Macaca mulatta: one gene and its partners. The protein of the gene in region 1 interacts with the protein of each later gene in a biochemical or structural test. Links are inferred from orthologs where the notes say so. Each region holds a gene or a part of one and is shown in the gene's direction. Other genes may lie near its edges.

Region 1 (3,750 bases):
AACTCCTGCTCCCTCTGTTCAAGTCCCTTTTTCCCCAACCACTTGCAGGTCCATCTGCCAGTACTGGTGGCCCCCAACCCTTAAATCTGGCAGTTGTATCTACTTTTCCCAGTGCCTACTTTCCTAAAGGTTATTTTCTGCCCTCTGAGCCACATCTTGCTTGCCTCTTCCAGACATTAACCTTTGTTTCCCTTCCCTACTCCCATCCTAACAGCCTTTGCAGATGTGATTGGTGCCCTCTGGCACCCTGACTCCTGCGAAGCTGTGAATCCTACTCGATTCCGAGCTGTCTTCCAGAAATATGTTCCCTCCTTCTCTGGATACAGGTGGGAGAGCTGGAGGCTATGGGATTTCTCTCTGGCCATGTCTGGGGGTAGGGCCAAGCAAGGGCCCTGGCAGCATTGTTCTGAGCTTTGAGATGTTCTTCATCCAGGAAGTGGGGACCGGTATCTGGGCAGGGAATAGTGTCTGTGGACTAGGAGGGGAGTCAGTTGCCCATACTCTTTGTCTGGCTGTAGCCAGCAGGATGCCCAAGAGTTCCTGAAGCTCCTCATGGAGCGGCTACACCTTGAAATCAACCGCCGAGGCCGCCGGGCTCCACCAATCCTTGCCAATGGTCCAGTTCCCTCTCCACCCCGCCGAGGAGGGGCTCTGCTAGAAGAACCTGAGTTAAGGTAAGGGTCGTTCCCTCTACCTCCTCTCCCCAGTAGTTTATCAGCAGCATTTACACTTCATAGAACTGAACTAGTCAAGATGAAAGATGTAGGGTCCAGGAAAACCCTTTAGTATAGAAAATAGTGTGAGAAGCAGCGTAGAAGTAGAAGGAAGGAAGAGGGGGAGTCTAAGGGAGCAGATGGAGGCAGAAGATCATGCTAGGGATGTCACCAAATTGAAGAAGGGGATAATTAATTTACAGGTTGAGGAAGACAGCATATTCTTCCCTTGTGTACAATCCTTCCTTTTCCTCTCACCTCAGATTTCCCCAGAAAGTTCATTGAGGCATTATTCCTTTGACTTTTCCTTGAAATATAGGGAAGAAGCAGGGGTGTGGGTGGGGTGTAGGGCTCTGTGGGTCGTTTCAGTGGGTGTTGGGGTGCCCAGTGTTCTTGCTGTCTCATGGATGCTCCCCACTTCCTTTGATCTGTGGTAGTGATGATGACCGAGCCAACCTAATGTGGAAACGTTACCTGGAGCGAGAGGACAGCAAGATTGTGGGTATGGAATGGGGCAAAGCAATGAGGGAAAATTAGTGTGTGAGGGGGGTACAGGCTTGGGGGGAAAATTGATACTATCGAGGGGTATGGGAAGAAGACTGGATGATGCAAATGTGAAGCTGTGTGAAGAGTTGATTAGGAGTGTTGGTAGTGGGAAAGGAAGGGTCAGGCAAAGGGGCAGAAAGAGATAGAAATCCGAGAAATCATCTCATAACATCCAACAATGACCTTTTCTCCTGTCCCTGTGCTTCTGTCTAGACCTGTTTGTGGGCCAGTTGAAAAGTTGTCTCAAGTGCCAGGCCTGTGGGTATCGCTCCACGACCTTCGAGGTTTTTTGTGACCTGTCCCTGCCCATCCCCAAGGTGGGATTCCAGAGGATTCCGGGGTGGACAGGACAGGGGCTCTGTGACCCAAGCCTACCCACCCCCAGAGTGAGGGCGGGAACCCTGTGGGTTTCTGGAGCAGAACTGAAGCCTGGATTGATTGAGAAGAGTTGGAAAAGGAAATTCAGAACATGTTGACCTTTCTTCCCCTTTTCCCCCAGAAAGGATTTGCTGGGGGCAAAGTGTCTCTGCGGGATTGTTTCAACCTTTTCACTAAGGAAGAAGAGCTAGAGTCGGAGAATGCCCCAGTATGTGGAGGTTCACAAGGGATATAGTAAGGTCGGGAGACCTGGGGGGAGGGGGACTCCATGTGGATAAAATGGATTGCATGATGCCTTAATATGGGGAATAATATTTATGTATCTGGGTTTGTGTTGGAGTCTCAGATATGTTCTAGTACTCCTAGAGCAAAGGGGAGAAGCCGAGAGGATCCAGCCGTAATGAAGTGCATACGAAATTTATATGTGGATTGGAGTGTCAGAAAAGCCAGTTGAAGTTAGGAGCGCATTAACCTAACACTGTTTGCCATTTATTCAGGTGTGTGATCGATGTCGGCAGAAAACTCGAAGTACCAAAAAGTTGACAGTACAAAGATTCCCTCGAATCCTCGTGCTCCATATCCTAATCTTCAGATTCTTACTTCTCTTAGGATACCTCCCATACATTCTCTTTCCTCACCCTCCATGTTTCCAGAGAATTGAATTTTCCTTAGGAAAAGCCTGCCACACCCTTTTCCACAAGCTACTCCCAGTGTTTTGGGAGTGGGGAGAGGACAGCTTTCAGGACAGAAGTCCCCCTCAGAGGCCCACTGCCTCCCAAATGCTCCTTAACCAGGGCTTAGATCTGAATCGCTTTTCTGCCTCCCGAGGCTCCATCAAGAAGAGTTCAGTAGGTGTAGACTTTCCACTGCAGCGACTGAGCCTAGGGGACTTTGCCAGTGACAAAGCCGGTGAGTCTGGTGGGGAAAGTCCTAAGGAGCCAAAGGAGTGGGGGCACAGCTCTGATTGTAGAACTTGATCATCTCCAACCCCGCAGGAAGTCCTGTATACCAGCTGTATGCCCTTTGCAACCACTCAGGCAGCGTCCACTATGGCCACTACACAGCCCTGTGCAGGTGCCAGACTGGTTGGCATGTCTACAATGACTCTCGGTGAGAACAGCCTCCTATTTACATCTTGCCCCATTCCCACTCAGCCCTGACACCCTCCCCTTCTGTGAAGTCCCAGGAGAGCAGAGTGCCAGGTGAAAGGAGAGGCGGAGGTCTTGCCTGATCTCTTCCTGGATGCTCTGAGGTTCGGTCTTGAGGGAGAAGGGAGTAAACAGTAATGACCACAACCCTTTCCCGATCTCCCTTTTTCCTAGTGTCTCCCCTGTCAGTGAAAACCAGGTGGCATCCAGCGAGGGCTACGTGCTGTTCTACCAACTGATGCAGGAGCCACCCCGGTGCCTGTGACACCCTCTCTAAGCCCTGGCACCTGTGAAGCCCTTTAAACACCCTTAAGCCCCAGGCTCCCCGTTTACCTCAGAGACGTCTATTTTTGTGTCTTTTTAATCGGGGAGGGGGGAGGGGGTGGTTGTAGCTCCATTATTTTTTTTATTAAAAAATACCCTTCCACCTGGAGGCTCCCTTGTCTCCCAGCCCCATGTACAGAGCTCACCAAGCCCCTGCCCGTGTACAGCCCCCAGACCCCCTGCAATATCACTTTTTGTGAATAAATTTATTAAGAAAAAATGATGTGCTTATTTGTATTTTTGCTTAGGGAGTGACAGAAAACTGGGCCTAATTGGAGTCTTCCTGGGACCCAAGTTCCCTCTCTAATAGGTGGGGGCGCTCTCAGATCCAAGGGGGAAGGTTTCGGAGATGGTGCTGGACCCGGACCTGTGCCCCCCAGCAGTGTACATTAAGCACTGGGAGGAAAAAGAGGGAAGGCATACTTGAGGCTGCGTGCAGGCTCTGGGGCGTCTGGTTTGGTCGGCGATGGGGGATGCCGCTGTTGACAAACACTGGGTACGTTGCCGGGTGGCCCTAGCTCCCGTAGGCCCGGTCTGTTGCTAACATCAAGGAGCTGTTTATGGAGCCACCTCCCAGTGGACTGGCTTCCAGTGTCCCTATCTATTCTCCCTACGACCAAAGCTCCTGGGGCCTTCCCTCT
Region 2 (3,750 bases), about 41 Mb from region 1:
CATACCCCGTTCCACAGGTCAGACGCTGTAACCTAAGAAACTCAACCACTCTCATCGTTGAACCAGAAGCTTCCCTGGACCCACCCATACACCCCAGTGGAATTTTTTTTTTCTTTTTTTGAGATGGAGTTTTGCTCTTGTTGCCCAGGCTGGAGAGAAATGGCACGATCTTGGCTCACCGCAACCTTTGCCTCCCGGGTTCAAGCGATTCTCCAGCCTCCGAGTATCTAGGATTACAGGCATGCGCCACTACGCCCCCCTTATTTTGTATTTTTAGTAGAGACAGGATTTCTCCATATTGATGAGGCTGGTCTCGAACTTCTGACCTCGGGTGATTCACCCGCCTCGGCCTCCCAAAGTGCTGGGATTACAGGTGTGAGCCACCGCGCCCGGCCACCCCAGTGGACTTCTAACCGCTCCTACCTTCCCTCCTACCTACCTCCCAACTCAGGCTGTATCATCTGTTGTAGTGTCTTGAAGAACCAAGGAGGAAAATTGCACCAGCAGAAAAAAATTGAGTCATGAAAGATGTGAAAAGATAGAAACATTACATATCATTTATTCAGAAGCAAAGTCTTTTACAGTGGAGGTGAGTTTGGACCAAGTGAACTACACTTTTCATAGTTGCCCCAGTGGGCCCGTTTGATGCTTGATAAACACACTCTAGACAAGTGGGACTTGCTGTCTGGATACCGGCTGGATAAAGAACAATGAGTATAGATTTCTTGGAAAATAGACATATAAATTCAGGGATGTCTTTATTCCTCCTTCGCCTGGGAATTAAACTCATTCTTCCAAAAGTTCAAACAGTTATCTCCTCTTTGAGACTTTTTACAACTCCCAGAGTGCTCTAGTTGCCCTCTCTATGTCTATACAACTCTGTCTTTATTCTTTCAGCAAGTATTTGTTGAACATTTTTTATTTGCGATTCACAGTCCTGGGTTCTAGGCACACACGGTTGAAAAGGTACACATAATCTAGCATTATCACGTTGCTTTGAAATTCAGTGGCTGTGTGTCTCACACCCCACCCTGTCTCCCAACTGCAATCAATACTTGTTACAATGAAGGCAGGAATGAAGTCTTCATATTTGCATGCCCAGGAACTGAACTGGAATCTGATGACACGCACTACATGACTCCTCCTTACACTGCCACCACCTGAATGAGGCAGCTGCCCTGGGCCCAGATGCTGACCTCATACTGTGCTTTCTGATGTGGCAAATAGACGTTTTCAAGCAGTCCCAGGGAGGCAGAAAGGCCAGTCCTTTGGCCCCTGGAACCTCAATGAGTCAATGTTTAATGCAGCCACGAGTCTAGTCACAAGTATAATTGTTTTTGACTGGTCCTTTGACTCAGTGACCATTCCTGGCATTCGTTTGCGTTGTGAACTATGATTCTGTTTCTCCTAATGTAGTCTGGGTGTAGCGTGGAAGCCCCAATTTAATAATTTCCGACCTCACTAAGTGCAAGGTCACATTCCAAGCTCCAGAGCTTCATTAAGGAACTCCTTCCCCCGCCCTCTTTTCTTAAGCATATATGCTACCGACGCGGAGGGCACCTCACTCGCTCTACAAGTAGCAAGACCCGTTGTCCTTTAGGAATACGGAGGTTTACATCTTCGTTCTGAGGGTGGGGGAAAAATCAGTTGCCACTTTAAAAGAGTTCGCGCTTAAGGCAGAAGCCGCGCCGAAGCGTCGCGAGAACTGTAACAACCCGCAACTTCTCGCGATGTTTGGCCCCGCTAAAGGTCGCCATTTTGGAGTCCACCCGGCGCCTGGTTGCCCCGGCGGCATCGCTCAACCGGCTGCCGGGACCAAAGCTGGTCCCGCGGGTGTCTGGCCTGTGGGCAGCCGGACCGACACGATGTGGCGGCTCCGCTGCAAGGCCAAGGACGGCACCCATGTTTTGCAGGGGCTGTCCAGCCGGACCCGGGTGCGGGAACTCCAGAGCCAAATTGCCGCCATCACCGGGATCGCCCCCGGCGGTCAGCGAATCCTCGTCGGATACCCTCCCGAGTGCCTGGATCTCAGCAATGGGGATACCATTCTGGAAGACTTGCCCATCCAATCTGGTAAGGAATCAGGGCAGGGGCCAGGGAAAGTCCCGGGAGGACGGAGAGGGGCGTGAGAGAGAACAGAACACTAGTCAAGGCAAGGTGGCTGTGGGTCGGCGGGGGACTTTGAGGCCAGGGGCGAGGATAGATCAAAGAACAGAGAACTCTGACGGGGGCCGGGGCAAGTGTCTAGCAACTCCTTGTCTTGACACAGGGTTGAAAGGGAACCCAAAGGCTTGAAGTCCCCCTTCCCCAATCCGCTTTCTGCTCGGCTTTGAAACTATCCCATTTTGTTTTCCGTCGGCGTCCACAAAAATATGAAGAAGTAGGGCCTATTTTCTCTGTCCTTATGTCTCTTTTCCCCTGTATCATCGATGAGATCTCAAGGATGCAGGATTTTTTTTTTCTTGGTTCATTTTTGCAATCCCCTTCATAGATACTTCGTTTGACAGGCATACTCATTTTCGAGTCAGCTTTTAAACACCCACTGAAAGCCCTTTCAATTTCTAACCAGTAGCAGTTATTTTTGTGCCATATCAAAACTTGAACATCAGTGTTTATAATTAAAAGCTTTCAGTTGCTGTATCAAGGACGCTGTAAACACTCAGAGTAGATAAGTTCCCAGAGAAGGAGACCCCCCTAGCGGCCTACTCTGTAGTGAGCACCTTCTGTAAAATACTGTATAAGGAAAGGAAATTTTGTTTTTGAAATGTATCTTTTTAGGTAAGCTTAAAGTTGTTTACTCCAGACCGCTTCACTAAATTGGGATGCAACCTGAAGTGTCTTTGTTCTTTGTTCTTTTTTCATCTTTATGAAAATTCAGTGAACAAAGATTGTTACTGGTAACTTATTTGCAAAGCTGTCTTCTCTTTAATAACCCCAGTTTATGCTTTAACTCCTTCAGTTTGTAATTTACAGACTTGGCTAGTGAACACTCGGTTTCTTCTATAATTTCTCTGCAGATCGGGATTTGTTTTATTTTTAACAGGTGACATGCTGATCGTTGAAGAAGACCAAACCAGGCCCAAAAGTTCACCTGCATTTACTAAACGTGGTGCTTCTAGTTACGTCAGGGAAACTTTGCCTGTGCTTACCAGAACCGTGGTCCCAGCAGACAATTCTTGCCTCTTTACCAGTGTGTACTATGTCGTCGAAGGAGGAGTCTTGAATCCAGCTTGTGCCCCTGAGATGAGACGCCTCATAGCACAAATTGTAGCAAGCGATCCGGACTTCTATAGTGAGGCAATACTGGGAAAAACAAATCAAGAGTACTGTGACTGGATCAAAAGGGATGACACTTGGGGAGGAGCAATAGAGATATCGATTTTGTCCAAGTTTTACCAATGTGAAATATGTGTAGTGGATACACAGACAGTAAGAATTGATCGTTTTGGGGAAGATGCAGGATATACTAAAAGGGTTCTGCTTATTTATGATGGCATCCACTATGATCCACTTCAGCGTAACTTCCCTGATCCAGATACACCTCCTCTGACCATTTTCTCCTCTAATGATGATATTGTTCTTGTACAAGCACTGGAATTAGCAGATGAAGCTAGAAGAAGGAGACAGTTTACTGATGTCAACCGCTTCACCCTGAGATGCATGGTATGTCAGAAAGGATTAACTGGACAAGCAGAAGCAAGGGAACATGCCAAGGAGACAGGCCATACCAACTTTGGAGAAGTGTGATCT
Region 3 (2,748 bases), about 130 Mb from region 1:
CCTGTAATCCCAGCACTTGCAGAGGCCGAGGCAGGTGGATCACTTGAGCCCAGGAGTTCGAGACCAGCCTGGGCAACATGGCGAGACCCCAATCTCTACTAAAAATACAAAAAAGTAGCCGGACCCCTGTGGTCCCAGCTACGTGGGAGGCTGACGTGAGGGGATCCCTTTAGCCAGGGAGGTGGAGGCTGCGGTGAGCTGGGATTGCACCTCTGCACTCCAGCCTGGGCGACAGAGTGAGACCCTGTCTCAAAAAAACAAAAACAACAAAAAACACCAAACCTGGGCAAATACTGCCCTAAACCAAGTGTTGTCATCTCTGGGGAGTTTGGAGGTTTTGTTTCTGAATTAACCATAGAGGTGTTTTCCATGTTTACTGTTTGCAAGTTGGTAAATGGAAAATGAAACCATTAGTTCATGTGAAGGCTTTAGCGCTTTTTTTTTTTTTTTTTTTTTTAACAGTTTCACTCTTGTTGCCCAGGCTGGAGCGCAATGGCGCGATCTCGGCTCACCGCAACCTCCACCTCCCAGGTTCAAGCGATTCTCCTGCCTCAACCTTCCCAAGTAGCTGGGATTACAGGCATGCGCCACCAAACCTGGCTAATTTTGTATTTTTAGTAGAGACGGGGTTTCTCTGTGTGGGTCAGGCTGCTCTCAAACTCCCGACCTCAGGTGATCTGCCCACCTCGGCCTCCCAAAGTGCTGGGATTACAGGAGTGAGCCACGGCATTCAACCAGCTTTAGTGCATCTTGTGAAGGACCTGGAATGCTCGATATTTAGGTGTTTCCAGGGTGTTGGGTGGGGGTGGGGATGCCGTCCGCCGTCCTGAGTCCCCGGCCCTGACAGTGCCTTTGAGACCCTGCCCACCCCCTTCTGCTTTTCCCCGTCTTTCGGCCATTCTGTTTTGTTTCTTCTGCTCACTCTGGGGCATGCCTTGGGAAAAGGAAACCGAAACTTGGCCACCGGAGCAGGCTCGCGCGGCCACGCCCCCTGACGTGTGTGGCTCAGGCTTATAACAGGGCTGGCTGCTGCCTGCAGGAGCCGGCAGTTGAGAGGCAGTGAACTCATCTTTGCCAGTACAGGAGCTCGTGCCGCGTCCCACAGCCCACAGCCATGGTAAGGGAGATGTCACAGGTGTGTGTGTGTTGGGTGGGGGGGGCCTCTGTGCCAATCAATTTTTGTCTCCCCCAGCCCGTGGCCCACAGCCCACAGCCATGGTAAGGGAGATGTCACAGGTGGGGGCTCGGGGGGGGGCAGGCCTCTGTGCCAGTCAATTTTCAGCTCCCTCCCCCAGCCAAGGTCTCCCAGGGTTGCAGGGAGAGCAGAGCTGCTTAGAGCTCGGCCAGGTTCTAAGTGTGCTCCTGAAAGCAGGTCACCCCTGAGATCCTCAGGGTGGGCACAGAGGGGCACCCTAGCAGGTAAAGGGAGGCCACGGATGGCTGTGGGCAGCTGGCCTTCTAGTAATGACCCCTCAGTGCCTTCTGTGCCTGGGGTCCCTGCTGATGGGATGTAGAGGACAAACAGGAGGAAGCACTGTCCCTGGGCACAGGAGCTCGCCCAGCAGCCAGGGCCTTGTGTGTCGTGGGCCTGGGACTGGTGCGGCAGCCTCTGAGCCTGTGTAATGTCTGCAGAGCTGGGACCTGAAGGTGAAGATGCTGGGGGGCAACGAGTTCCAGGTGTCCCTGAGCAACTCCATGTCGGTGTCAGAGCTGAAGGCAAAGATCGCCCAGAAGATCGGCGTGCATGCCTTCCAGCAGCGTCTGGCTGTCCACCCCAGCGGCGCCACCCTGCAGGACAGGGTTCCCCTTGCCAACCAGGGCCTGGGCCCCGGCAGCACGGTCCTGCTGGTGGTGGACAAGTGCGATGAACCTCTGAGCATCCTGGTGAGGAACGACAAGGGCCGGAGCAGCACCTACGAGGTACAGCTGACGCAGACTGTGGCCCACCTGAAGCAGCAAGTGAGCCGGCAGGAGGGTGTGCAGGACGACCTGTTCTGGCTGACCTTCGAGGGGAAGCCCCTGGAGAATCAGCTCCCGCTGGGGGAGTACGGCCTCAAGCCCCTGAGCACCGTGTTCATGAATCTGCGCCTGCGGGGAGGCGGCACAGAGCCTGGCGGGCAGAGCTAAGGGCCTCCACCAGCATTCGAGCAAGATCAAGGGCTGGAAATAAATGTTGTAAAGAGAAATGGCTGCCTCTGTGTCTGCACGTGACCCTCCTCCAGCGTCCGCCTCAGACCCCTAGTGAAGTGGCGGGAGGAGTCAGGAGGGAGATCCCAGGGTCCATCCTGGTGACCAGGCCTGGTTGCCAAGTGAAAGGATAAGGGTTTGCAGTTACAGCCTCGAGGGATCAAAATACGGAGCTTCCTCCCTACCAAACTGAAGTAAGACAGCTCTCCCCACCCTTTGGGAAATTAACTTCTAGGGAAAGAAAAAGAGACACAGTTGCTGGAGCCCATCCTGCCCATCCTCCATCTGGGACAGCAGACAGCTTAGGCAGGGACCAGCCTGCTCAAATCAAAAGGCTACGGGGGAGGCTCCCAGTGGGCCCCTGGAAGCTGTGCGGGGTGAGTCCTTGGGGCCTGCCCAGTGGGCTGTGAGGCAGGCTCTCCACAGGAACTGGGGGCCGGGGGCCTCAGCTGTCCCTAGCCCAGCCTGCACAGCCTGCTCCACCTGCCTGGGCTGGGCGAGGGAGGGATAGAGACAGGTCCTGAGTGCTCACATCACCACTGGGGCCAGCTGTAGAAGACA

What was found.
Region 2: the proteins of USP21 (region 1) and YOD1 form a complex in vitro, tested with the Homo sapiens proteins (2 studies listed by BioGRID, with this or other methods). The link is inferred for Macaca mulatta from reciprocal best matches to the Homo sapiens genes USP21 and YOD1.
Region 3: the proteins of USP21 (region 1) and ISG15 form a complex in vitro, tested with the Homo sapiens proteins (2 studies listed by BioGRID, with this or other methods). The link is inferred for Macaca mulatta from reciprocal best matches to the Homo sapiens genes USP21 and ISG15.

Annotation. Positions count from the first base shown.
Region 1 is NC_133406.1:105,721,090-105,724,839, reverse strand, and holds the end of USP21 (ubiquitin carboxyl-terminal hydrolase 21), read left to right. Parts: intron 1-214; coding exon 215-326; intron 327-518; coding exon 519-674; intron 675-1,150; coding exon 1,151-1,215; intron 1,216-1,472; coding exon 1,473-1,576; intron 1,577-1,758; coding exon 1,759-1,845; intron 1,846-2,134; coding exon 2,135-2,546; intron 2,547-2,632; coding exon 2,633-2,747; intron 2,748-2,959; coding exon 2,960-3,050; 3' UTR 3,051-3,330; downstream 3,331-3,750. UniProt on the Homo sapiens protein: Deubiquitinates histone H2A, a specific tag for epigenetic transcriptional repression, thereby acting as a coactivator.
Region 2 is NC_133406.1:64,800,937-64,804,686, reverse strand, and holds the start of YOD1 (ubiquitin thioesterase OTU1), read left to right. Parts: upstream 1-1,126; 5' UTR 1,127-1,730; coding exon 1,731-2,073; intron 2,074-3,043; coding exon 3,044-3,747; 3' UTR 3,748-3,750. UniProt on the Homo sapiens protein: Hydrolase that can remove conjugated ubiquitin from proteins and participates in endoplasmic reticulum-associated degradation (ERAD) for misfolded lumenal proteins.
Region 3 is NC_133406.1:239,667,815-239,670,562, reverse strand, and holds ISG15 (ubiquitin-like protein ISG15), read left to right. Parts: upstream 1-1,028; 5' UTR 1,029-1,114; coding exon 1,115-1,117; exon of another isoform or gene 1,118-1,215; coding exon of another isoform or gene 1,216-1,218; intron 1,219-1,632; coding exon 1,633-2,127; 3' UTR 2,128-2,184; downstream 2,185-2,748.